Linked DNA regions of Oryctolagus cuniculus. The main gene of each other region encodes a partner of the protein of the gene in region 4 in a complex. Links are inferred from orthologs where the notes say so. Each region holds a gene or a part of one and is shown on either strand. Other genes may lie near its edges. The genes, in order: RAMP2, GNB1, RAMP1 and CALCR.

Region 1 (4,907 bases), on a different chromosome or scaffold from region 4:
ACCATCACTGCCCTGCTTAAAGCCCAGTATGCGCTTCAGCCATCTTTCATCAGGACCCCACGCTCAGCTCAATCCTAACCCACAGTGGGGCTGTGGGCTCCTGACCCCGCCCTGCAGAAATGGCTTGTTTTGCTTTCTGCCCCTCCTTGCTGCCTCCTCTTGTCTTATCACCCAGAAGTCCCCTGCTTCCTTCTGGGAAAGGGTGACCCCAGATAGGACAAAAGGGACAGATTTGGTGCCAGCCTGGGAGTGACATCGAGGCTGCACCATTGCAAAAATGACTCTTGCCGGGAGTGCTTTGGGCCACCTCCTCTGTCCCATTGTGTCCCTTGCTAACTTAGCTTTTTTTTTTTTTTTTTTTTTAATTAGACAGGCAGAGTTATAGACAGTGAGAGACAGTTCACCCCCCAAATGGCCACTGAGGCCGGCACTGTGCCAATCCAAAGCCAGGAGCCAGGTGCTTCCTCCTGGTTTCCTGTGCGGGTGCAGGGGCCCAAGCACTTGGGTCATCCTCCACTGCACTCCTGGGCCACAGCAGAAAGCCGGACTAGAAGAGGAGCAGATGGGACTAGAACCTGGCGCCCATATGGGATGCCGGCGCCAGCCCTGCTAACTTAACGTCTTAATTCTAGCTGTAAAAGAAAACTTTAGATTATCTATGGCCATGATCCCCAAAGCCTGGGATCCCGAAATGAGGATTTTAAGAGGGATCATGAAAGAGAAATTGTGGTGGGCAGGAATCAGTAAACTGGGACAACAGCAGCCACTGGTTCCAAGGGTCAGCGTCTGGGAGTAATTAGAAAAGTTTGGTGCCGACAGCTGTGCGTCTGGGAGTGGAACCTCATGGCCAAACCAGCTCCTGAGCTCGTCGGCTGCCCCAGGCTAATGAAGTCCGGTTCCAGGACACAGGGGCGGCTGTGATGTGGCAGCAGTGAGGGCGCCTGGGGTCCAGGCGCAGCCTTGCTGTGGACCAGCAGTGGCCTTAGGCCGGGCACCAAGGACACACATCTGTCCACACCACAGCGGAGGAAGGGACTGCCCCCATTTCTCACAGGAGACCACAGAGCGAAATGTGTCCTTCGAGGCCATATAGCTGGGGAGTAGGAAGACAGAATAAGGACCCCAGAGCCTCTGGATTCAAGTCCTGGGTTCTTTCCCTGTACGATGGTGATAAGAATGGACACGCTTGGTACATGACATCACCCACGGGAAGTTCTGAACGTCTCCCCTCTTCCCTACGACCTGGGTCTGGAGGGCTGCGGGCACCTTCTTTCTGGGGAGGTACTCGCCCCCGCCCCCACCGTCAGATTTGGGGATCTAGGACCCAGCAAATGCTTCCAAGGAAGGCACCAGACTTGGATTTCCCCTCTCGCGTGCACTCCCCTGGCCCTGTCTCCTCCCCGGTCTGGCGGACGGGCTGACATCAGCGGGTGGGAGTTTCCAGGGCAGAGGAACTCTGAGCTGCAGGGCTTAGCTCCAGGTGCCCCTTCCCCCACGGCCCACAGCAGCCCCAGTCCCAGTCCCAAGGCGGCTCCGCGAGGCCCTTGCAGCTCCCAGACCCTCCCTCTTCCCAGACGACCCCACCGCCTGCCCCCGAAGAGAGCCGGAGACCAGGGCCCAGGAGCCCCTGCCAGTAGACCCCGGCGAGTCCCCGGCGCCTCGCAGCTGAGCCCGAGCACCGGATCTCGGGCGTGGGGTTACGAGGGGAGCTGTCCAGCCCCGCGGGGTGAGCGGGAGGGAGCGTGGGCCAACACGGGCGAGGAGGAGGGAGCCGCGGGCTCCCGGCGCGGGTGCGGCAGCGACTCCCCCTGCAGCCCGCGGGCCCCGGGCGTCGCCTCCGCCCCCCACGTGGCCGCAGCCGTCCCAGCCCCTCCGAGGAAGCGGCGCGGCTTCCTGCGGCTCGGGCCGGGGATATAGGCGCCCCCGCCCGGGCCCGGCTCAACGCCGCCGCCCCTCCTCGCCTCGCCGCGCGATGGCCTCGCTCCGCGCGGAGCGCGCAGCTGGCGGCCCGCGACTCCCTGCGACCCGCGCCGGGCGGCCCGCGGCGCTCCGCCTCCTCCTCTTGCTGCTGGGCGGTGAGCGCGGCGCCCCGGGGCCCCGCGGGAGGCGCGGAAGGCTAGGGAGGGGAGGGGGCTGGACGGCCGAGGCGGACGCGAGCTCTGCGGGGTGAGCAGTGCGTCCTGCGGACGGTCCCCGGCCCCACCTCGGGGCGGCCACAGCACGAACTCTGCTCCTTGCTCGGGGAAAGCCGGGGTGAGGGCAGGGGCCCGCGGACACAGTCCTGGAGGGCTGGGCTGGTGAGGGGGGTGTGCGTACGCGCGCCTGGGCCTGGTTGTGCGTGGGCAGGAGCTCGTGCCACCCCTCCTTTCCAGGCGCGGAGGCATCCCGCGGGGGCATCCCTCGGATGCACAGACGGCTCCTCTTTCTCTTAAACCGGCGCCTGGATCTCCAGGGGTCGCAGCCTACATGCCCCTCCCCCGCAGGCGCCACTGCCTGCTTCACCACCTCTCCACCCTCCTCTCCCGCTTCTTCCCACAGCTGTCCTTAAACCCCAGGAGTCCCTGGCCCAGACTCTTCCCACCCCGGGCAGCTTGGAGCCAGAAGGTGGGTGCCCAGGGGCTGTGGGAGGGAGGCCTAGGGCCGGGAGGAGAGCCAGGTCAGTGCCTTTCCCATAGGCACCCCCCAGCCCCCTGCTGCCCCACTCTGCTGCCGGCTGGGCCCCCGTCACAGGTGGGTGGGAAGAGCCCAGGAAAAGGTGCACGTGGAGATTGTCAGGCTTCGATGAGAAGTGCTGCCCAGATGGAAGGCACCAGATTGCTCAGGCAGGCCGCTCTGCGAGGGGAACTGGCAGAGGGGTTCCCACGTCTGAAAACAAGGGTCGTGGGTTCCACCTAGACAGTCCCTGGGCCAGAGGGTGTGTGGGGGTCAGAGGGGTGGCAGGCCATGGTCACTGAGCAGCGTCTGTCCCCACAGGGAGGACGGGGGAGGAGAACTACGAGACAAACGTCCTACTTTGTTGGAACGACTATAAGGTTTACATGGACTCTATCGAAAAGGATTGGTGCGATTGGGCCGTGATTAGCAGGTAGGGGCCCTCCTGGAGGGCGGCCCAGGCGCGCGGGGGTGGGGGGTTGGACTTTGCTGCTGGGTGGGCCTGCCTCTCCTTCACGCAAGCCCTCCCTGCCCCCAGGCCTTACAGCGAGCTGCGAGACTGCTTGGAGCAGAACGCCGAGGAGTTCGGCCTGGGCTTCCCCAACCCCTGGGCAGAGAGGATCATCTTCGAGACTCACCAGATCCACTTCGCCAACTGCTCCCTGGTGCAGCCCACCTTCTCCGACCCCCCGGAGGACGTGCTGTTGGCCATGATCATAGCTCCCATCTGCCTCATCCCCTTCCTCGTCACGCTGGTGGTGTGGAGGAGTAAAGACAGCGAGGCCCAGGGCTAGGGTGGCACAGCCTTCCCCATGCCCTGCCAGCTCTCGCCCTCTCCCCCCCTCCCCACCCTCTTCCCTCGGTCCCAGCCCCTGCAGGTCCCCGGTAGATGGAGATGGAAGTCGGGTGGGGCCATGGCACAAGTTCTGAATCTAAATAAAAACTTCTTTTGGGTACAATGTCCCCCTTCCCATCCTAGCGGGGCCTGTTCGCTTCCCGGAGCCTCTGCCACCCCCACAGCAGGCCGCAGAACTGGGCGAGTCGGAGGGCTTCATGGCTCTGTTCACCCCCCCATCCCGCCCCCACCCTGGATGAACGCCCTGCCCCATACTCCTTCCTCCCAGGGCAAGGCCTTTCCTGCCTCGCTCCAAACCCAGCACCAGGAAACAAGCAGGAAAAGACTCCCTTCCGGTCTGCACGGCAGCGGGGGGCGATGCAGGAGGAGGGGCAAGGGAGAAATCTGCCATGACTCCTGCAGCCAGGGAGGCAGCCCCCCACCCCGGGCGGTCCTGACTCGTCCCTGCATGCCTGTTTATTCTGAAGGCTTGGGAAGAGGAACCCGGACCTAAGCACCAGGAATCTATCGCTGAGACCTCAGAACGGAGGGCAGAGGCAGTGGGGACGTCCTCGGCAGGGTCCACCCCTTCCCACTAGGTCCCTGGCCCTCATCCTACATTGTCCTGGATGGGGTGTGGCCTACATGGTGGCCACACACTGCCCCCTGGTGTCCACTAAAGCCAAGACTCAAAAGATGTGTGTGACCTGGAAGCAGCTCAGGGCTGAGGCCGCCGGGCCCTGGGTCAGAGAACTATTTGTTCTCTCCATAGCATCCTCTGGTTCTCCCCCACCCTGTGTGTGGGCCTCTGAGACATCCCAATCAACCCTCTGACCTCTCTGCAACTCCCGGCTTCTGCACATGCACACCAGGTTCTCGGGGGAACCTTCACCTCCAGCCCTCCCTGGGACGCACCTGTCAGGCCACCAACAGCATCTGCAACAGCTTCATTCTCCATGGAGAATTGCTCCTTAGTATCGCTGATTCTTTGTGGCATCCCCCGTCTCTGGGATGTGCCTCCTTGCTGAGATATGTGTCCTTGAGTACGTGCGTGTCCATTTCCCGGGGCATGTCTGTCTACGAGTGTCTGCCTCACCAGACACATCTCTTTCTGGGATTGCTAAGGATATTTTCAGTTTTCACTGACAGAATTTTTACTGTATTTCCATGAATGGATCGGTCTCCAGACAGCTGTCCTTTTCTTAAAAAAAAAAAAAATTATTCACTTGAATCTACTTGAAAGTCAGAGTGATGGGCAGGAGGGAGATTGTTCATCCACTGATTCATTCCCCAAATGCCCATAACAGCCAAAGCTGGGGCAGGTCGAGGCCAGGAGCCAGGAACTCCATCCAGGTCTCCCACGTGGGTGGCAGGGGCCCAAGCACTCGGGCTGTCTTCTGCTGCCTCCCCAGGAGCACAT
Region 2 (4,888 bases), on a different chromosome or scaffold from region 4:
AGACCCAGAAGAAGCTCCTGGCTCCTGGCTTTGGGTTGGCCCAGCTCTGGCCGTTGCGACCATTTGGAGAGTGAACCAGCAGTTGGAAATCTCTCAGTTTCTGTGTCTCTTCCTCTCTCTCTGTAACTTTGCCTTTGGAATAAAATCGATAAATCTTAGGAAAAAAAAAAAAAAAAAGCCGAGCAGCAGAGCTTCCCCACAGGGCTTGGCCAGACTGCGGCTGGGAGCTCCATCTGGGTTTCCCGCGTGGGGGGCAGGGCCCTACGTTCTTGGCGATTGTCTGCCTCCCAGGCGTGCTAGCAGGGAGCTGGTCAGGAGCAGGATATGAGACTTGACCTGGCAGCTGGCTGTGGGACGTGGGCCCACACAGCGTCTGACCCCCGCACCACGACGGGCACCCACTGAGGCAGCCATTTGTGTTGACTCTGAAGGTGCTGTCTTAAACTCTAGTGTGGTTTGGACTTTTTTTTTTTTTTTTTTTTTGACAGGCAGAGTTAGACAGTGAGAGAGAGAGAGAGAGACAGAGAGAAAGGTCTTCCTTCCGTTGGTTCACCCCCTAAATGGCTGCTGTGGCCGGCGCTGCGCCGATCCGAAGCCGGGACCCAGGTGCTTCCTCCTGGTTTCCCATGCGGGTGCAGGGCCCAAACACTTGGGCAACCTCCACTGCCTTCCCGGGCCACAGCAGAGAGCTGGACTGGAAGAGGAGCAACTGGGACAGAATCTGGCGCCCCGACCGGGACTAGAACCCGGGGTGCCGGCGCCGCAGGTGGAGGATTAGCCAAGTGAGCCACAGCGCCGGCCAATAGTTTCTTTATATTATTAATTCACAGATATCCCCACTGGCTTCATAAAATAAAAATTTACAGTAGGGAAGTTTGCCCCTAAAATCGGATCTCCTGGGAACACCCAGCTGCAGTGTCAGCTCACAGCAGCATGGAGACCTGTGTCTTACTGGACATCGCCCTGAGTGCCTCTGAGGGGCTGCCCACACTCCTGTTGTGAGCCTTTAAAGCTGTGTTCTCATTTTACTGCATCTAGTGTACAGAGGTCTTCAGGAAATTCATAGAATATATGTACTATAAAATCACGCCTGGGTTTCAAAATATTGTGCCCAAATTAGCTTATCTTTCAGTTCCATTTTTCTGTTGATTTTTGAAGTTCTCTTTTACATATTGCTTTTTTATTTTTATTTTTTAAGATTTATTTATTTATGTGAAAGGCAGGGTTACAAGAGGCAGAGAGAGAGAGAGAGAGGTCTTCTATCCGCTGATTCACTCCCCAAATGGCTCCAACGGCCGAAGCTGGGCTGATGCAAAGCCAGGAGCCAGGAGCTTCTTCCAGGTCTCCCACATGGGTGCAGGGGCCCAGCAGAGAGCTGGATCGGGAGTGGAACAGCCGAACAGCCAGAACTCAAACCCACGTCTACGTGGGATCTGACACTGCAGGTGGTGGCTTTACCTGCTACACCATAGCGCCAGCTCCCTATATCTCCCTATTTATAAAAATATATGTTCATTTAAGATTCCACACTTGTCTAGTTCCTTGTTCACTTGATGTTAGTGATGGCGTGTCCTTCCGCAGAGTGTACCTGCATTTCGTCGTTTCGTAGATAAGAAAGCAGATAGAGCCAGGAAGAAGTCAGAAGGTTTCATCTGAATCTGCAGTCTGATCAGACGCCTTGCTCTTTTCTGTGAAATTTAAATCCAACAAAGTAATTATTGTCCCGAAGAGATTTTTGGGCTGGTCATTAGGTCCTTGCTGGACCGCTCTCCCTGGGCGCCAGCCTCCCGTCCTCCCTGGGTCAGCTGTGCAGGCGCTGAGCCAGCGTGGTTGCTCAGAAGCGCCGAAGGCCAGGGCAGCCCCGCGCCCAGGGGCCCTGCCCTGGTGCCGTCCCCGTGCCGGGTTCCACGGTCGCTGTGTGTGAGTGGCCGAGTGCGGTGGATGGTGGGTGTTGGGGGGGGGGTGCTTTCCTTCCACAGTGACGCTGTGAGGCCCCAGGTGGCCCCTGCCTGGACACCGCTCACCTCTCTTGTGTTGCTTCCTAGGATGCTAGGAAAGCATGTGCAGATGCAACGCTCTCTCAGGTAAGAGCCGGTGTGAGCCTGGGCCCTCCGCAGTGAGCTCTGCCCGTGCAGCTGCCAGACCACTGCGGGGCACTGTCTTGCGGAGCCGTCCAGACGTGGGAGGAGACAGGGGTTCTGTGTTCGCGTCGTCTCTTCAGCCCGCGTAGTGCTCCCTGCCAGGGCAGAAGACTGCTGTCTCAGTCAGGCGGCGTGTCGCTGCCTTCGTGGCCAGTCGGTCCAAGAACTGGACTCCGCAGGCCGGCCTGACAGCTCCCCAGACACTTGAACGGCAGCTCCATGGCTCCTTGTGTGCCCAAAAGGATCAAAAGCCGGCGTTCAAGCGGGTGTTCAGTAGGATACGCACACCGAAACCCGTGGGTGTCTGAAGCCTCGTGTACACAGACCCTACAGAGGGCATCGCTGCGGACTAATAATGGAATATCATAAAAACAACACTGCAGGAAATCTGTGCATATGATCTGTCTCAAAAAATTAATCTTCCTGTACTCACACTTGTGACAACAACGCCTGTGCGAGGAGATGCAGTGAGGCAGACGACACGGGGCTGGGACGCAGCTTGGGTGACCACAGTGGGCACAGCGCGGTCCCACGGGCCGAGGGCTGACCACACCCCAGACAGGACCAGCAGGCCGGAGTGGATGTCATCCTCCTGCTCAGACGGCTCACAACTTAAACTTAGGAATTGTCCGTATCTGAAATGTCCTATGTAATAGTTTCAGACTGCGATTGACCACAGGAAACTGAGCCATGCATAGCGAAACCAGTTAAAGGAGGATGGCTGTACAGTGTTCATATCGCCGCTCACACAGCCAAGGGAGGAGACCATCCAGCTCTCCATAAGTGGATGAGCGTACAAACGTGTGGTGGTGTGTTTGCACGGTGGGATATTACTCAGCCGTGAAAGGGAATGCAGCCACGTGTAGCTCTGTGTGTATGAAATACCCAGAATGGTTAAGTTAAAGACAGGAGATTGGTGGCTGCAGGGATCGTGGGGGCGAGAGGAGGAGGTGGCCGCTGGGTGGGTGGGGAGGCGAGCAGTGGTGAGGGCTGCACAGCATGCCCTGAGTGGGCACTGTAACAGAGTTTTAAAAAGTTAAAGAATCGGACAGAATAGTGAAAGAAAAGTTAGATTCACCCTCTGCAGGTGACTTGGTTCATGAGGCGATCCAGACACTGAAGGGGATGCGCTGTAAGAAGGAATTCTTGCAGCGTAGAATCACAGCTGTCAGTTCTCGGGCGCACTGTGGACTGTCCATTTTTTAAGACTCATTGTTGGGTGTGCTTTGCCCATTTGCCAACCTGGAGGCATTGCTGTCGGTGTCTGCCCTGTGGGGTGGGTGCTGGCGTGCAGACACCGATGCTGAGTGTTGTCCAGGCCCACACGTGGCCTGAGGTAGGAGCAGAGCACTAGCTGCTGGAGGCTGTGCCCGTGGTGGCCCCGGGCCCTGAGACAGATGGGCGGAGCTGGAGGCTGTGCCCGTGGTGGCCCCGGGCCCTGAGACAGAGGCGGAGCCGGGCTGCCGTGTGTGTGCACGCCAGGGGGACAGGTGTGTCCTCACGCCCCGTGGAAACGGCAGCCCTGTTCAGAGTCCCGAGGGCCCTGGTGCCCCTGAAGAGCTGGAGGATGGCTGGGCCCTGCTGGGTGGGTGAGGAGGAGGGCTCTGGGAAGATCGTGTGGTCACAGATGTTAACCTCAGGAACCTTCGTGTTTAAGATCACAAACAACATCGACCCGGTGGGGAGGATCCAGATGCGCACCAGGAGAACGCTGAGGGGGCACCTGGCGAAGATTTACGCCATGCACTGGGGCACGGACTCCAGGTAGGCACAGGCCACGGCGGCAGCCCGTGCCGGCTACGTCACCGAGGCTCTCTTGTCTGGGAAGGTCGCCCGGACTCATTTGCTGTACTTTGTAGCGAGCAACACGAGGAGGAGGAGTCAGATGAGCAGGCCAGGCGTGGCCTGTGCGCGGGTCTGCGCTCACCTGGCCCACTCCACTCTGCTGTTTCCTCTCCGCTCCAGGCTGGCTTGTGTGGCTCAGGTTCTCCTCCCTGGAAAACCCCACCTTCCCTCCGCCCCGCTGTGCTCTGCCGTGGCCTTGGGAAGTGGCCTTCCTCTGTCCCTGTGTTCTGCACTGCGCGGCCTGTTCTGGTGGCTGCTGGCCCTCCTGTGATTTCAGCGCCTGCTCCGGGCTGCGGGAGGCCCAGAGAGAGAGCCTGAGAGCAGCAGCCTGTGGGGTGGTGCTGTGCCTGGGTTTCTGTGGTTGGGGCCCCCAGCAGGTGCATGGGTGTGTGTGTTTGCTGCGGCCATCACCCCTCACCCGGTCTTTGTGCCTCTCTGTGGTGTGTTCATTGTCCCAGGCACAGCCCCTCGAGGCTCCTGTTCTTCCTCTTCCTGGGATTCTTAACCTCCCGTCCACTCCCCTGTCCCCTGCTCACCCTCTGCTCTGCCTCCACCCTGCCTCTGCCCACACCTGCCTTGGGCTGTGTGCCTTCCCTGTGGGCCACATCTGTTAAGCTCTCTTTTCCTGTTGTTTTAGAGGTTCCCAAGTCCATCTCGTACGTTTTCTTCCCAAATAAAGAAGGTGCTTTTGATTTGTGGACTGTAGCCTGCTCTTCGAAGTCTGACATGCGATTCTTGACATGCCTGCCTTTGAGAAGCAGCTTTTTCCTCCTTGAGTTGTCAGAGTGGAATTTTCTGCTTGGCTTTCTCTTTTTCGTGGAAGTGCTTTGGAGTGTAAAGGCTGGAGAACAAAAGATTCTATCTTTAGTTTGTTCTATACAGTATCCCATACAATTTCATAT
Region 3 (5,645 bases), on a different chromosome or scaffold from region 4:
CCCACCCGGAGCAGGTCTGACCGCTGTACCCACTGCCCACCTGGAGCAGGTCTGACCACTGTGCCCACTCTGCAGCAGGTCTGACCGCTGTGTCCACTCTGCAGCAGGTCTGACCGCTGTATCTACTCTGCAGTGGGTCTGACCGCTGTGTCCACTGCCCACCTGGAGCAGGTCTGACCATGGTTGGGCCAGCGTCCATGGTTCCCCGGAGCAGGCTTTCCTCAGTGGGGCACCGTGGACTGGCTCTGACGTGGCTGCTGTCCTGCGCTGGTCATGACACGTGTGAGCCACGGGTGTGGCGTGTCAGGAAGAGGCCAGGAGCCGCGGATCAGCACTCTACGCTCTGCCACGCTCCCTCCCACGCAGAGGGCTGCTGTGGTCTGGGTCATCACGCCAAAGGCCCACGCGTTCAGGGACTGGTCGTAGGCCTCAGGCCAGTTGTCAATGGTTAATGGACGACCATTGGTGGTTAAAGACTAAGAGTGGAGGCTGCCCTCGCCGGTCCCTGCTCAGCTTCTCTGCACCACGTGGGGGCACAGGGCACAGGGCCGGTGCCCCCGCTCTCCTGGTCTCCCCCTGCACTGGCTCTCCTGGTCTCTGCATGCCCTTGCTCTCCAGGTCTCCCCCTGCCCCGGCTCTCCTGGTCTCCCCCTGCCCCCGGCCCTCCTGGTCTCCCCCTGCCCCGGCTCTCCTGTCTCCCCCTGCACGAGCTCTCCTGGTCTCCCCCTGCCTGGCTCTGTCTGGTCTCCCCTGCCCTGGCTCTGCCTGGTCTCCCCCTGCCCTCTCACGGCCCTTCCTCTGCAGGGCCTCCCTGAGCTTTCTGGAGAGCGTCCCCCCCCCCCTCCGCAGGTCCCCACTGCCCCCGCGCCTGCCCTTGCCGGGGCTCCAAGCCTTGCATGCCTGCACCGGGTGGACAGGAGGCCCTAAAGCCTGGGTTCCCGGGATTGGAGACGCGCCCCCCATGGGCTCCCTGTAGGGGCGGCTCCATCAGCGTTGCTGGGTCAGGAACGGCGGCCCCCTGGGGCTCAGACCTCAGGCCCGGTGGAGAAGAGACCACTTCCCTGGAGTCCCAGCAGAGAAGTGTTCAGTGCGGCCACTGCAGGGAGGGCCGACCACCAGCACGCGCTGGGCCCAGCACCAGCCCTATGTGGCCCTGGCCGGCATCTGCCCGAAACCGGTGCATTCCCTCCGGGGAAGGGAGTCAGCAGGCCCGGCCAACCATCTGCTCACAGCCAGGATTCCACCCAGAGCGCTGGCTCCTGGTGTCACCGGTGCCACTGACCGTGCACACGGGGGACTGGGGCGCGCCCCCAGGTCCAGGCTCACAACACGCATGCTGGTTGGCGTGAGCCACGGAAGAAGACAAACCTCTGGGAGTTTCTCCCTGCAGCTGCACACACAGGGGCAAACAAACCTGACTGGCAAATGAGAAAGCGCCAGGGTCGGACGCCAGGGTCGCGACCGCGTCGGGACGCAGAGCAGCCGGACACGGGAGGCGTCGCGTACCGCCTCTCCTGGGTGTCCCGGAACTTCCAGCTCTCCTCATGGTCGCACGATCGTGTGTTTCAATGTCCCAACCGTTCCAAAAACCCACAAACACACAAACCCCGGCCCCCGCCCGAGGGTCCGGGAGGCTCCGCACGCGAGGCCGGGATGGAGTGACCCCAGCCCGCCTGGAATGGCTTCAGGGTGGTCACACACAGTCTTCCCCACACACGAGCCCATCAGCCTTCCAGGAACACACGCGTGTACAGGACTCTCAGAGCACGGAGGGGCCCGGCACAGAGGACACGCAGAAGGGCAGCAGACTGGACAGGAACAGCTTGGCTATAAAATCCTTAAGGCTGGGGACCAACACGGCCCATGCCGGGTCGCCATCCCAGGCAGCCAAGGTCACCTCCAAGGACATGTGGCCGTGCTATGGCACCGGAGGGTGACAGCGTGCGTGTGCAGCCGCGTTCCAAGTGCATCTGTTCACGGGTGACCTCACAAAGCTCCGTGTGTTCTTCTGAGACGTGACACTGGCCAGGCCACTCAGGACGTGACGATGACGGCTCTGGCCTGGCAGGAGAGCGCAACCGCTCTCTGGTCACCAGGGAAAGTCTGTGTGATCCCAACACAGGGCTTTCTTTGTACCAGCCATAGAGGGCACCGCCTCCGGACACCAGCAAAGGACATTTACGCGTTTAAGTAAAAACCACACAACTCATTCTCTGCCTTGCTAACAGAGCTACGCTGGCTTCCGAGGGCACTAAAACGGCCGACTCCACGTCTAGGCCGACGGAGGACGGGATCACTACAAGATCTCCTTCTCCTGTGACTTCGGCAGAAGCGCTCAAGTGCCAAGGCCGGCGTTGAGATGGCCACACGGAAGCCGGGGCAGGCTTTGGTTACGGCCGGCGGCTCCTCCTGGCCTGGGCAGCCTCTCCTGCCCCCAGGGGCTCAGCTAGAGCAGGGCGGGCAGGCCCCCTCCTCCCACGCCAGGCTCCAGCGGCACAGCAGGCGCCCACAGCAACATCACAGCTCTGGGGAGGGAGCCCTGGACGGAGTAGCCGGTGCCGTCCAGTCCGTAAGAGGAACACACGGAAGGGGACACATCCACCAGCTCGAACAGCTGGGAGCTCTGCATGTGTGCATCAGGACACCCGGCGGAGGGAAGACGATCCCTCGCCCCATCCCCGCAGGTTCCCGCAGCCTCTCCAAGCCCGGCCACCCCACCGCACCGGGGGTCTCCGCCCGAGTCAGGGAGCGAACACCAAGTCGTGGCTCTGCCTCCAGAGGACAGGCGGCTGGCCTGGCTTCAGCGGGGACACCGCTTAGCAAATCAGAAACAGCGGCATGTGACAGTCAGATGACCGGTTTTTACTAATTTCCAAACAGCCGTGGCCCTCACTCAGTCTGCAAGGTGCTCACACCCGAGCCCCAGGGAGCCTGCGCGGAGGGTGGGGGTGGGGAGCAGGGGCGCTCCCCAGCGTGCGGGGCCAAGTGGCAGCTGCCCTTCAGCCTCCTCCACCCCACCCCCACCCCCGCCGGGAGGGCGCAGACCCCTGCCCAGCCGCCTGCCCCGCCCGTCTCCTTGCCCCGCACCCCGGGACGGCCCGGCTTGGGGGACCTCCGCCGCGGGCCCCGCGTGGCGAGGCGGCGGCCGGCGTTCGCGAGCCTGAGCCGGCGTGCTCGCGGCGTGCGACCCCCTCCTCCGCCCTCGACGCGGGGGAGCCGGGCCGGCCCGCGACCCCGGCCCCTACTCACCCAAAAGCAGCCAGAGGCCGCGCTGCGGGAGGCCACGCAGGTCCGGGGCCATGGCGCGCAGCGAGCCGAGCCGAGTCCGCCCGCGGCGCGCCCCGCCGAGTCCTGAGCCCGCCGCGGCGCCCGCCCCGGGAAGACGCCGCCGGGGGCGGGAGCGCGGGGCGGGAGCGGCGGCCGCGCGGCCCGACTCGGGGTGGGTGCCGGAGCGGGCAGCACCTGCCGGGTGGAAGTCGCCCAGAACCAGGAAAACGCTGCCGCCTTCCGGAAAAGTTCGCCAAATTAACAATCGGGAAACCTGGGTGGCGGGGCGGGGGGCAGTGCGCTTCCAGAACCCTCCGGGCACCTCGCCGCCCTCCCCTCGCAGGGTCTGGTCACTCTTGCCCGCAGTCAGGCGCTCCCTGCCCCTCCAGGTGCGGGCACGGGGCGCCCGGGGGCAGCAGCAGCCTTGGCGCTGGCCGAGCCCCGCGCACAAGAAGCCGGAGCTGCGGGGTGCGGAGGGGCGCGCCCTCGCAGAGGCCCTGGGCCCTAGGGAACAGGGAGCGCTCTTCAAGGGGCTGGGGGGGCCGGGGTTGCACCTGCCGCTGAGGGTGACGCAGGGACCAGGGCCTCCAGTAGAGAGGTAACGCCTCGCTTGGTGGTGGCCGGCGCGAGCGTGAACCCACCCGGGTGGCGGTCACCCGCGCAGCCCTTTGCAAGCAGGGCTGAGAGGCGGGCAGTGCGGGAGACCTCAACCCCGCATTCACCGCTGGCTTAGCGGTGGCTCCTTCCCCAACACCCTGTGAAAGCGAGTTAGCGTTCCTTCGCGGCCACTGGTTAATGTCACAGCTTCCAGTGCAATGCCCGCCGTCTCCGTGGGTCAGCCGGCGCGGGGCAGGGGATGGCTGACCGACCCCGCTCCTCCGCCGAGGGGCTGCTGCCACCTGCCGGGCGCTCAGAGCAGCGCACAGCGAGGCGGCCCTCGGTCCCCTCTGAGCCCAGGTTGGCAGGGCGGGCACTCCCTGGGGGTGGGCACGCCTGCGTGTGCCCGGGGGCCCCAAGTCTCCTGGGGGCGACGGTGGTGGAGGGCACCCGTTCCCGACCTGAGCAGCCCCTCCGCCTGAGCCCTGGGGCACATCCCACCAGGTAGGCCCACATCCTCAGCTGGTGCATCCAGTGGGGGACTGCTGTGCCGCAGGGACCGTCCAGCACGGGGGCACTGCCCTCCGCCGTGGAGTAAGGACACAAAGGCACGTTCGCGACAAGCTGCACCCCCTGGTCTTGAGGACTGGGGGGGGGGGAATCCCTGAAGAGACCACAGGCTACAGCACAGGCCTGGGGTCCAGAGACCACGCCATGGCCAGAGGGCGTGAACACGGCCCGTGTGGCCCGAGGACAGGTCCACCTGAGTTACGCTAGGTGATGTGAGTGGAGGCGACCTCGTCCTGGCTCAGACCCCGTCCACACCCAGCTGCCCCTCCCCTGGGCCCCGTCTGCTCGCCCTGCGGCTGCACCTGGATTCCTCCCAGGAACTTCTCCAAGGGTAACTGCAGGAGGCGTGGGGGCCCCTGGACAGGCACGGGCTCCTCACAGGGCCAGGCTCCCTTGTCAGGTTCACGCTGGAGCCTGGAAGCTCACGCTCTCTGGAGAATGCTGAGGTGACCCAGAGCCCTGCGCCACTTCCTGTCCTTTCACGTCTGTGCCCGGCCCGGGACGAGGTAGCCAGTACTACCGAGGGTCTGCGCTGCTCCGAGGGGCAAGGCGGAGCAGACTGTTTACCCCGAGTTGAAGACCCCACCCGGTGAGACTCTGTTCAATTTGTGTGTTATTTCTGGTTGGCAGCTGGAAGCATGGGGATCCATTCCTCCGGGGGCCCCCACCTACAGCGCATCAGGGCCAACAGTGGCTCCGCTGTAGAACGGCCCAGTGCTGGCTGTGCACGTGGTAGCTACACAGTGTTCACTGTACACGTGGCTACACACACAGTGCTGACTGTGCACGTGGTGGCTACACACACAGTGCTGACTGTGCACGTGGTGGCTACACACACAGTGCTGACTGTGCACATGGTGGCTACACACACAGTGCTGACTGTGCACATGGTGGCTACACACACACGTGGTGGCTACACACAGTGTCTCACTGTGCACGTGGTGGCTACACACACAGTGCTGACTGTGCACGTGGTGGCTACACACAGCCCAGCGTCTCACTGTGCGCATGGTAGCTACACACAGCGTCTCACTGTGCACATGGTAGCTACACACACAGTGTCTCACTGTGCACGTGGTGGCTACACACACAGGTCTCACTGTGCACATGGTGGCTACACACACACAGTGCTGACTGTGCACGTGGTAGCTACACACACAGTGCTCACCGTGCACGTGGTGGCTACACACACACAGTACTGACTGTGCACA
Region 4 (5,483 bases):
GTGGGGCCAAAGAGCCTCATCCCTGTTCCCACTGCTGTGTCACCTTTTCTGGAATTTCCTGCCTACGGAGAACTCTCCGTGCTCCCTCCAAAACTGTCTTGACATAACTAGCATTTTCATCGGTGCAGGTTGCATATGTTTAGGTCACACACAGTTTTGGGCTTTATGATACACGCATGCCCTTTGTAGGCTGTGGGGCTGAGTTGTGGTTAAGCACCGAGACCCTCAGATCTTCAGTAGCAGCTTAGAGCCCTGCTCTCACAACCCTGGCTGTCAATGTCAGGTAGCTAGGATGCCCGAGGATAAGGCTCTTGCAGAAAAATTCCACTGTGCCTGCCCTGCCACGCAGCGCTGAGGGCAGCAGCACCGTCCACTTGGAAGTAATCTTCCTACTTTGATGCTATTTCAGTGACTTGGGCTAGGACAGGGAGAAATTCTCCATGTTTGGCCCCCAGCTGTTGACCAAACAATGTTAATCATTCTCTGCTCTTTGCACCAAAAGAAGGTAATTAATGTTCCCAAAGAGAATGTTTAAAGGAAGGCATGATCAGGTGTTGGCTGGTAGGCAGCAGCTGGGAAGCAGAGAACAAGTGAACCCAGGACAGATGTCAAAGCACAGAGATGTGTTTCTAAATCCTGAATGTGGAGGGTTTCTTCAGATGTTGTTTATGTGGCGCTGTGTGTGTGTGTCTTCGCCAGCCTGCCTCTCTCCCACATTTCTTCCTGTTAACATCATTGCCACTGAAAGCCAGGCAGGCAGGGACTGTACAATCTTTCCCTACAGTGTGGCAGTGCCTCAGGTTTGAATCCTCGCTGAGTCACACGAATCCCTCTGGGTCACCAGGCTGGAGGGGACAGGGAAGGAGGACAAACTCCCGGAATGTCTGCTGGGAGAGCTGATCTGCCTGCGGACTCCGACTCCCACTGGGTCCCCGGAAGACACAAAGAGATTCTTGTGGTCCCTCTGGGGTGGAGAGTGTGGGGTCACAGTAGAAACGGGCAGGCAGCACTGTCACCTTCAGCCACCGCCTTTCCAGGGAGGGGCCCCTGGGCTGGACGGGTGCAGGCTGCAGCCCGGTGCAGGGGACGCCTCCATCTCGCCTGCCAACCGCCCTTTCTGCTTAAGGGAATCTTGGGACCGCTGGGGGAAGCGTGCCGCTCTGCCGTCCGGCTTTCTCCCGCTCCTGTTATGTTGCTGTTAGGATTCCTTTTGCGGAGGGACAGTATTAGCAACCTCGACGGTGCGCAGCCACCTCGCGGGACAAAGAGGATGCGGCTTCCATAGCCCCCAGCACCCCTAGAAAAGAGTTAGGGACGAAGTGCCGGCTGCTGCCTCGCCGCGCCCCGCCGTGGGCTACAGGAGGTGGCGGGCGGCCGGTCCTTGGAGCCAACTTGCCCGGCTGCGCCCTGCCTGGAATCCGATTGTCCCGGGCTCCAGCTGGCATCCAGGACTTAAAGGGGGGAGAGGGGGAGGAGTCGCAGCCCCCGACACCAAGTCCCGCACCCTAGACCCCCAGCTTCCAGCGCCGTCCCCACTGCGCTCACCCACCCCAAGATACGGTGCCCCCCAGTAGCGCCCCAAGCGCAGGGCACTGTTGGCCAAACAACCTGCACCCCAGCCCTCAGCGCCCAAGTCCGGACGCTCTCCCGGGTTTGTCGGACCGCTGCAGCCGCAACTCTGACCTCTCCTGCCCCCAGCTCTCGGCCGGCCATCCTCCCGCGCCCCCACCCCACTTTCTCCAGCGCCCCGGGGCTGTCCCCTGGGTGGCCGCAGACGGAGCCGGGGTGGCACTATCTCCCGGCGGGGGTTGCTTGGCCAACTCACCACCCTCCGAAATTTGCATCCTCCGGGGAGCGGACGGGGCGCCCACAAAGCTGTCTCCAGGGACAAGTTGGAAATCTCCCAGCCCGGACCGCAGTCCCCTTTCGGGCCTCCACGGGGGTCCCTCGCCTGCTAAGAGTGGGTGCGCGCCCCGCTATCGGCCCCAGGACGCGAGGGTGAGCCCCGCCTGGCCCCCGGCCGGGCAGCGGCGGAGCTCAGCCCCATCGCGGGCCGGGGCCGGGGCAGGGGCAGGGGCTGGCGAGGAGGCGCGCAGAGCTCGGCAGCTCGCCCCTCCCTCTCCCGGGCCGGGAGGGACTGAGGGGAGGGGAGAGGCGCGGAGGGGAGGGCCGGGAGGGGCTGGAGGGCCGGGAGGGGCTGGCGCGCCTCGCTGCAGCCGCCGCCGCCTGGGCTGCGTGGGGAGGCGGGCGGGGCGGGCTGCGCTGAAGTCGGGAGAAGTTTGCGCGCAGCTTCAGAGCCCGGCGCGTGCTGCAGGCGCCCGCAAGGTGAGCCCGCTGACTTGGGACCGGAGTCTGCAAGCGCGGGGGAAACCGCCTGGCAGCCTGGATCGCAGCCTGGGCAGGCTCCGCACCATCCCTGCGGGCGGCGTTAAAGGGTCGGGGACTCAGAGCGGGGGCAGGAGAGGGCGAACTCGGACTAACGCAGTTTGCTCTCACGTCAAACTAGGAAAGTCAGCCCCTCGCTCGCTGGCTTGCGGACCTCCGTGGGGAGCAGAGAAGCGCGCAGCAGTGCCTCGCCTCGCCCTGGCGCTGCCGCCGCCTGCCCAGGAGATGGGCGCCCGTGCCTGACTTGCTACCACCACCTGAGAACGCCCTTCGCGTCCCCTGGGTTGTGCCCCGCCGCGCACTGAGAGAATTCCAGGTAAGGAGGGTCTGGAGGGGAGCGCGACTTGGAGCTTTGGGGTGTCCTAGCGGTGGGCGGCCGTGGAGGTGCGAGGCACCTTGCTTTTTTATTGCAAAGCTGCAGTTTGATTGTGGGGCTGGAGGTGAGCGTGGAGGGGTCAGCTTGGTCTCAGTTTGCCTTGATTAAAGGAAAAACAGGTGTCCTGGGAGGGTGTTATGATTTAGCGGTTTGGGATTGAGGGGTCCTCTCAGTTTCTTGGGACTTTTACCACGTTGCTGTCACCAGTTCTCCCTCGAAAGTTGTTATTTTCCAACTTACTGGGTGTGAAAATGACAAGACTTCAAGTTGTAAATTTTCTCCCAGAAAAGCTGTGTGTTCACTAGCACACGGAATCCTGGCATCCGTAACATGTGCCGTGGCGGTCCTGGGTATTGGAAAGGAGTACAGTAGCGAACGGGTTGCTTGTTAGGTCATCTTTTACTGAGAATTACTTTCCAACAATCATTTATGCATAGCAGCCATTCTTCACACCTATTAAGAAAAATATGTTGCGTGCATAGTTTCCAAAGAGTGCTCCTTTTCATGATGCTCTTTCCACGCCGGGTGAAAGACAAGCTCTACAAATTAATCCCTCTGTCCCCAACATTCATTTTCCTTGACGTCCAAGGAAATCCCAATGATTGACAAAAATCAACAATCAGATGAGATTTGTAACCTATCCTACCAGCTTTATTTAGCAAATCTGCCTAAAAAATATTCTATCTGTAAGCTTTTACCCAATGTTAAACGGCGTAAGCTAAATTAGACAGCATGGTTCCACTTGCTAATCTTGGGGAGACCTGACTGCTACCCGGCTGTGGTTACCCTGAACCAAGCCATGGCTTTTTGTTGACATTGTTGGGTGACTGAAAGTAGCATGTTCAAAATCAAGCCAAGTTTGACCATGCTTCTCCTGAATCTCACCTTTCAATAGCAGAGTGCCCAAGTTTAAGTTTGTCTTATGTGATGAAAGAAAGCAAATGTTTTATCCATGTGGACTGTTTGGCTTGCTATTAAGGACATAGTAGGAATGCAACTAGTGTTGTAGGATTTATGAAGCAAACTCTGTAAGAGCCTGTTGCTAGCCCACTGTGTGTTCAGTAAAGAATTCAGCTTTAAAACATTGAAATCACTGGCTTTCTACACTGGTATTGTAAGAACTAACATGACTACATTTGCAAAACCGTTACAGTTGAAGTCAGTATTCTTGGTGGGCACTCATTTCTACTCAGTGTTTTAAAAGAGTTCAAAACATCCATCAGCCAGGATTTGTTTTGTTTCAATGCCTCTAACCTACAGTTAATTTTAGGGATTAAAACCACCAAGAAAAATATTCAGTCATGTTATAAAATGTCCTAAGATTATTTATTGACCACACCAATGACTGAGTGTAGTAAACATGAGATCTTCATTATAACTGATGCGCAAGAGCACATAAATTACCTCAGAGTTGTCTTGCGATGCTCAAATTCACTGATATAAATATGGCTTCTGTTACCTACTTCCTGTGTTTGGGGACTGCAGATAAAATAACGGTGGATGGATAAAGATAGGAATTGCTTTAAACAGTTGAAAAGGAGGACTCAATATTATTGTAGTTGTGCTGTGGCAACTCTGTTGTTGGTGAATGAAAATATTATCTAATGTTGGCTTTTATCTGTGTAAAAGGAACATGAAATTAGGAGTCCAATGATGCTTAGGTTATCACCACCGATAACCTAAACCTGTGATCACAACTTGGGCTGCAAATTAGAGTCAATGAAAGAAATTCCATCCGTAGAAAATTCATAACTGTACCCCCAAACTAGTTAAATCAGAATATCCACGGACAGGGCCTGCAGTTTCACGTATTTCTTTAGGTGATGAAAGTATGTAACCTAGGTTGAGAACCACTGACTGAGATGGTTTCCATGAGATTTGACACCGCCTGTCAATGTTAGGGGGTCTCGGTGAAAACAAATGCCGGTTGTTACATTGCTGGTTTAATCTTTCATTCTTAAAAAATATATATGTGTGTATCTTGATGTGCAATTAGAAGAAAGAGATTTTACTTCTTTTATTGATGTTAGATGTTTAATCCGTAACAGATTCCATGAAAAACATTTTGTTGTTGTTTTTTCCAGCAAACAAGCTATTGAGTTTGAAAATTATCTGGTCATCCAGAAAATGCCTTAATAAATGAACTCTAGCTTTAAAAGAGGCTAAAAAATAATGCTTTATGAAGTGGAATTTGATTTCCTTTTGCTTAAGACCTAGATGTAGCAATGTGGAAACATCCCCTTTGGAAAAGGAAGAAGGGGGAAAATAGTATCATTCTCCTTGAGAAACTAACTTCCATATCCTGATTATGTCCTAGCTTTTCACACACACACACACACACACACAGTTTAACTCACAATGCAATTGTGAGGCAGAAGCAATCATTCTGATTTTCTATATGAAGAAATTGGGGACTCATTAGGTGAATGAATTTGCTCAAAGCTACAAGCCAAAGAAATTAAGGCTGTCTTTGAACCCAGGTTTTCTTATTCCAAGTTCAATTTCCTCGTAAAATATTTTGATGTGCACATTCATATTGTTTAAAATTTAAAGACAGCATTTGTTGTAAAAGCTGCATAAGAGTGCAGATTCTTGCACGACTCTGCTTGGGTTTGATTCCCGGCTCCATCCTTTTCTAGCTGTGTGATTTGGGCAAGCAATTTAACCTTGCCTGCCTTCATTCCCTTTGTAAAATGAGGGTTTCATTGAATGAGTTCATCTT

The links.
Region 1: the proteins of CALCR (region 4) and RAMP2 are in contact, whole or in part, in a cryo-EM structure (PDB 7TYX), measured with the Homo sapiens proteins. The link is inferred for Oryctolagus cuniculus from reciprocal best matches to the Homo sapiens genes CALCR and RAMP2. Residues at the interface, in NP_001158210.1 of Homo sapiens: Arg45, Lys46, Met48, Met49, Asp50, Gln52, Tyr53, Lys54, Tyr56, Asp57, Met59, Gln60, Trp76, Gly78, Arg126, Phe235, Leu238, Ile242, Thr246, Val250, Glu255, Lys256, Gln257, Arg258, Trp261, Tyr262, Leu264, Leu265, Phe269, Pro273; in NP_005845.2 of Homo sapiens: Trp86, Tyr93, Ser94, Arg97, Asp98, Glu101, Leu109, Pro112, Glu117, Ile120, Phe121, His124, Phe128, Cys131, Pro136, Phe138, Ser139, Asp140, Pro141, Leu146, Met149, Ile150, Pro153, Ile154, Leu156, Ile157, Leu160, Ile161, Leu163, Val164.
Region 2: the proteins of CALCR (region 4) and GNB1 are in contact, whole or in part, in a cryo-EM structure (PDB 8F0K), measured with the Homo sapiens proteins. The link is inferred for Oryctolagus cuniculus from reciprocal best matches to the Homo sapiens genes CALCR and GNB1. Residues at the interface, in NP_001158210.1 of Homo sapiens: Arg174, Ser175, Arg404, Gln408; in NP_001269468.1 of Homo sapiens: Thr47, Arg52, Phe292, Ala309, Gly310, His311, Asp312, Trp339.
Region 3: the proteins of CALCR (region 4) and RAMP1 are in contact, whole or in part, in a cryo-EM structure (PDB 9AUC), measured with the Homo sapiens proteins. The link is inferred for Oryctolagus cuniculus from reciprocal best matches to the Homo sapiens genes CALCR and RAMP1. Residues at the interface, in NP_001158210.1 of Homo sapiens: Arg45, Lys46, Met49, Asp50, Gln52, Tyr53, Tyr56, Asp57, Met59, Gln60, Gln61, Thr75, Trp76, Asp77, Gly78, Asn124, Arg126, Phe235, Leu238, Ile242, Thr246, Val250, Ala251, Gln257, Arg258, Trp261, Tyr262, Leu265, Phe269, Ile276; in NP_005846.1 of Homo sapiens: Trp59, Ile63, Tyr66, Arg67, Ala70, Asp71, Phe83, Trp84, Pro85, Val89, Asp90, Phe93, Leu94, His97, Gly98, Phe101, Ser103, Arg109, Ala110, Val111, Arg112, Asp113, Pro114, Ile118, Leu119, Phe122, Ile123, Pro126, Ile127, Val129.

The regions. Positions count from the first base shown.
Region 1 is NC_091448.1:20,144,759-20,149,665, reverse strand, and holds RAMP2 (receptor activity-modifying protein 2), read left to right. Parts: upstream 1-1,867; 5' UTR 1,868-1,972; coding exon 1,973-2,075; intron 2,076-2,538; coding exon 2,539-2,604; intron 2,605-2,973; coding exon 2,974-3,085; intron 3,086-3,190; coding exon 3,191-3,446; 3' UTR 3,447-3,608; downstream 3,609-4,907. UniProt on the Homo sapiens protein: Accessory protein that interacts with and modulates the function of G-protein coupled receptors including calcitonin gene-related peptide type 1 receptor (CALCRL) and calcitonin receptor (CALCR). Required for the transport of CALCRL to the plasma membrane.
Region 2 is NC_091438.1:163,949,517-163,954,404, forward strand, and holds part of GNB1 (guanine nucleotide-binding protein G(I)/G(S)/G(T) subunit beta-1), read left to right. Parts: intron 1-2,045; coding exon 2,046-2,084; intron 2,085-3,798; coding exon 3,799-3,905; intron 3,906-4,888. UniProt on the Homo sapiens protein: Guanine nucleotide-binding proteins (G proteins) are involved as a modulator or transducer in various transmembrane signaling systems.
Region 3 is NC_091434.1:2,452,125-2,457,769, forward strand, and holds the start of RAMP1 (receptor activity-modifying protein 1), read right to left. Parts: upstream 3,731-5,645; 5' UTR 3,302-3,730; coding exon 3,250-3,301; intron 1-3,249. UniProt on the Homo sapiens protein: Accessory protein that interacts with and modulates the function of G-protein coupled receptors including calcitonin gene-related peptide type 1 receptor (CALCRL) and calcitonin receptor (CALCR). Required for the transport of CALCRL to the plasma membrane.
Region 4 is NC_091447.1:42,220,568-42,226,050, forward strand, and holds the start of CALCR (calcitonin receptor), read left to right. Parts: upstream 1-2,243; 5' UTR 2,244-2,325; intron 2,326-2,506; 5' UTR 2,507-2,701; intron 2,702-5,483. UniProt on the Homo sapiens protein: G protein-coupled receptor activated by ligand peptides amylin (IAPP), calcitonin (CT/CALCA) and calcitonin gene-related peptide type 1 (CGRP1/CALCA).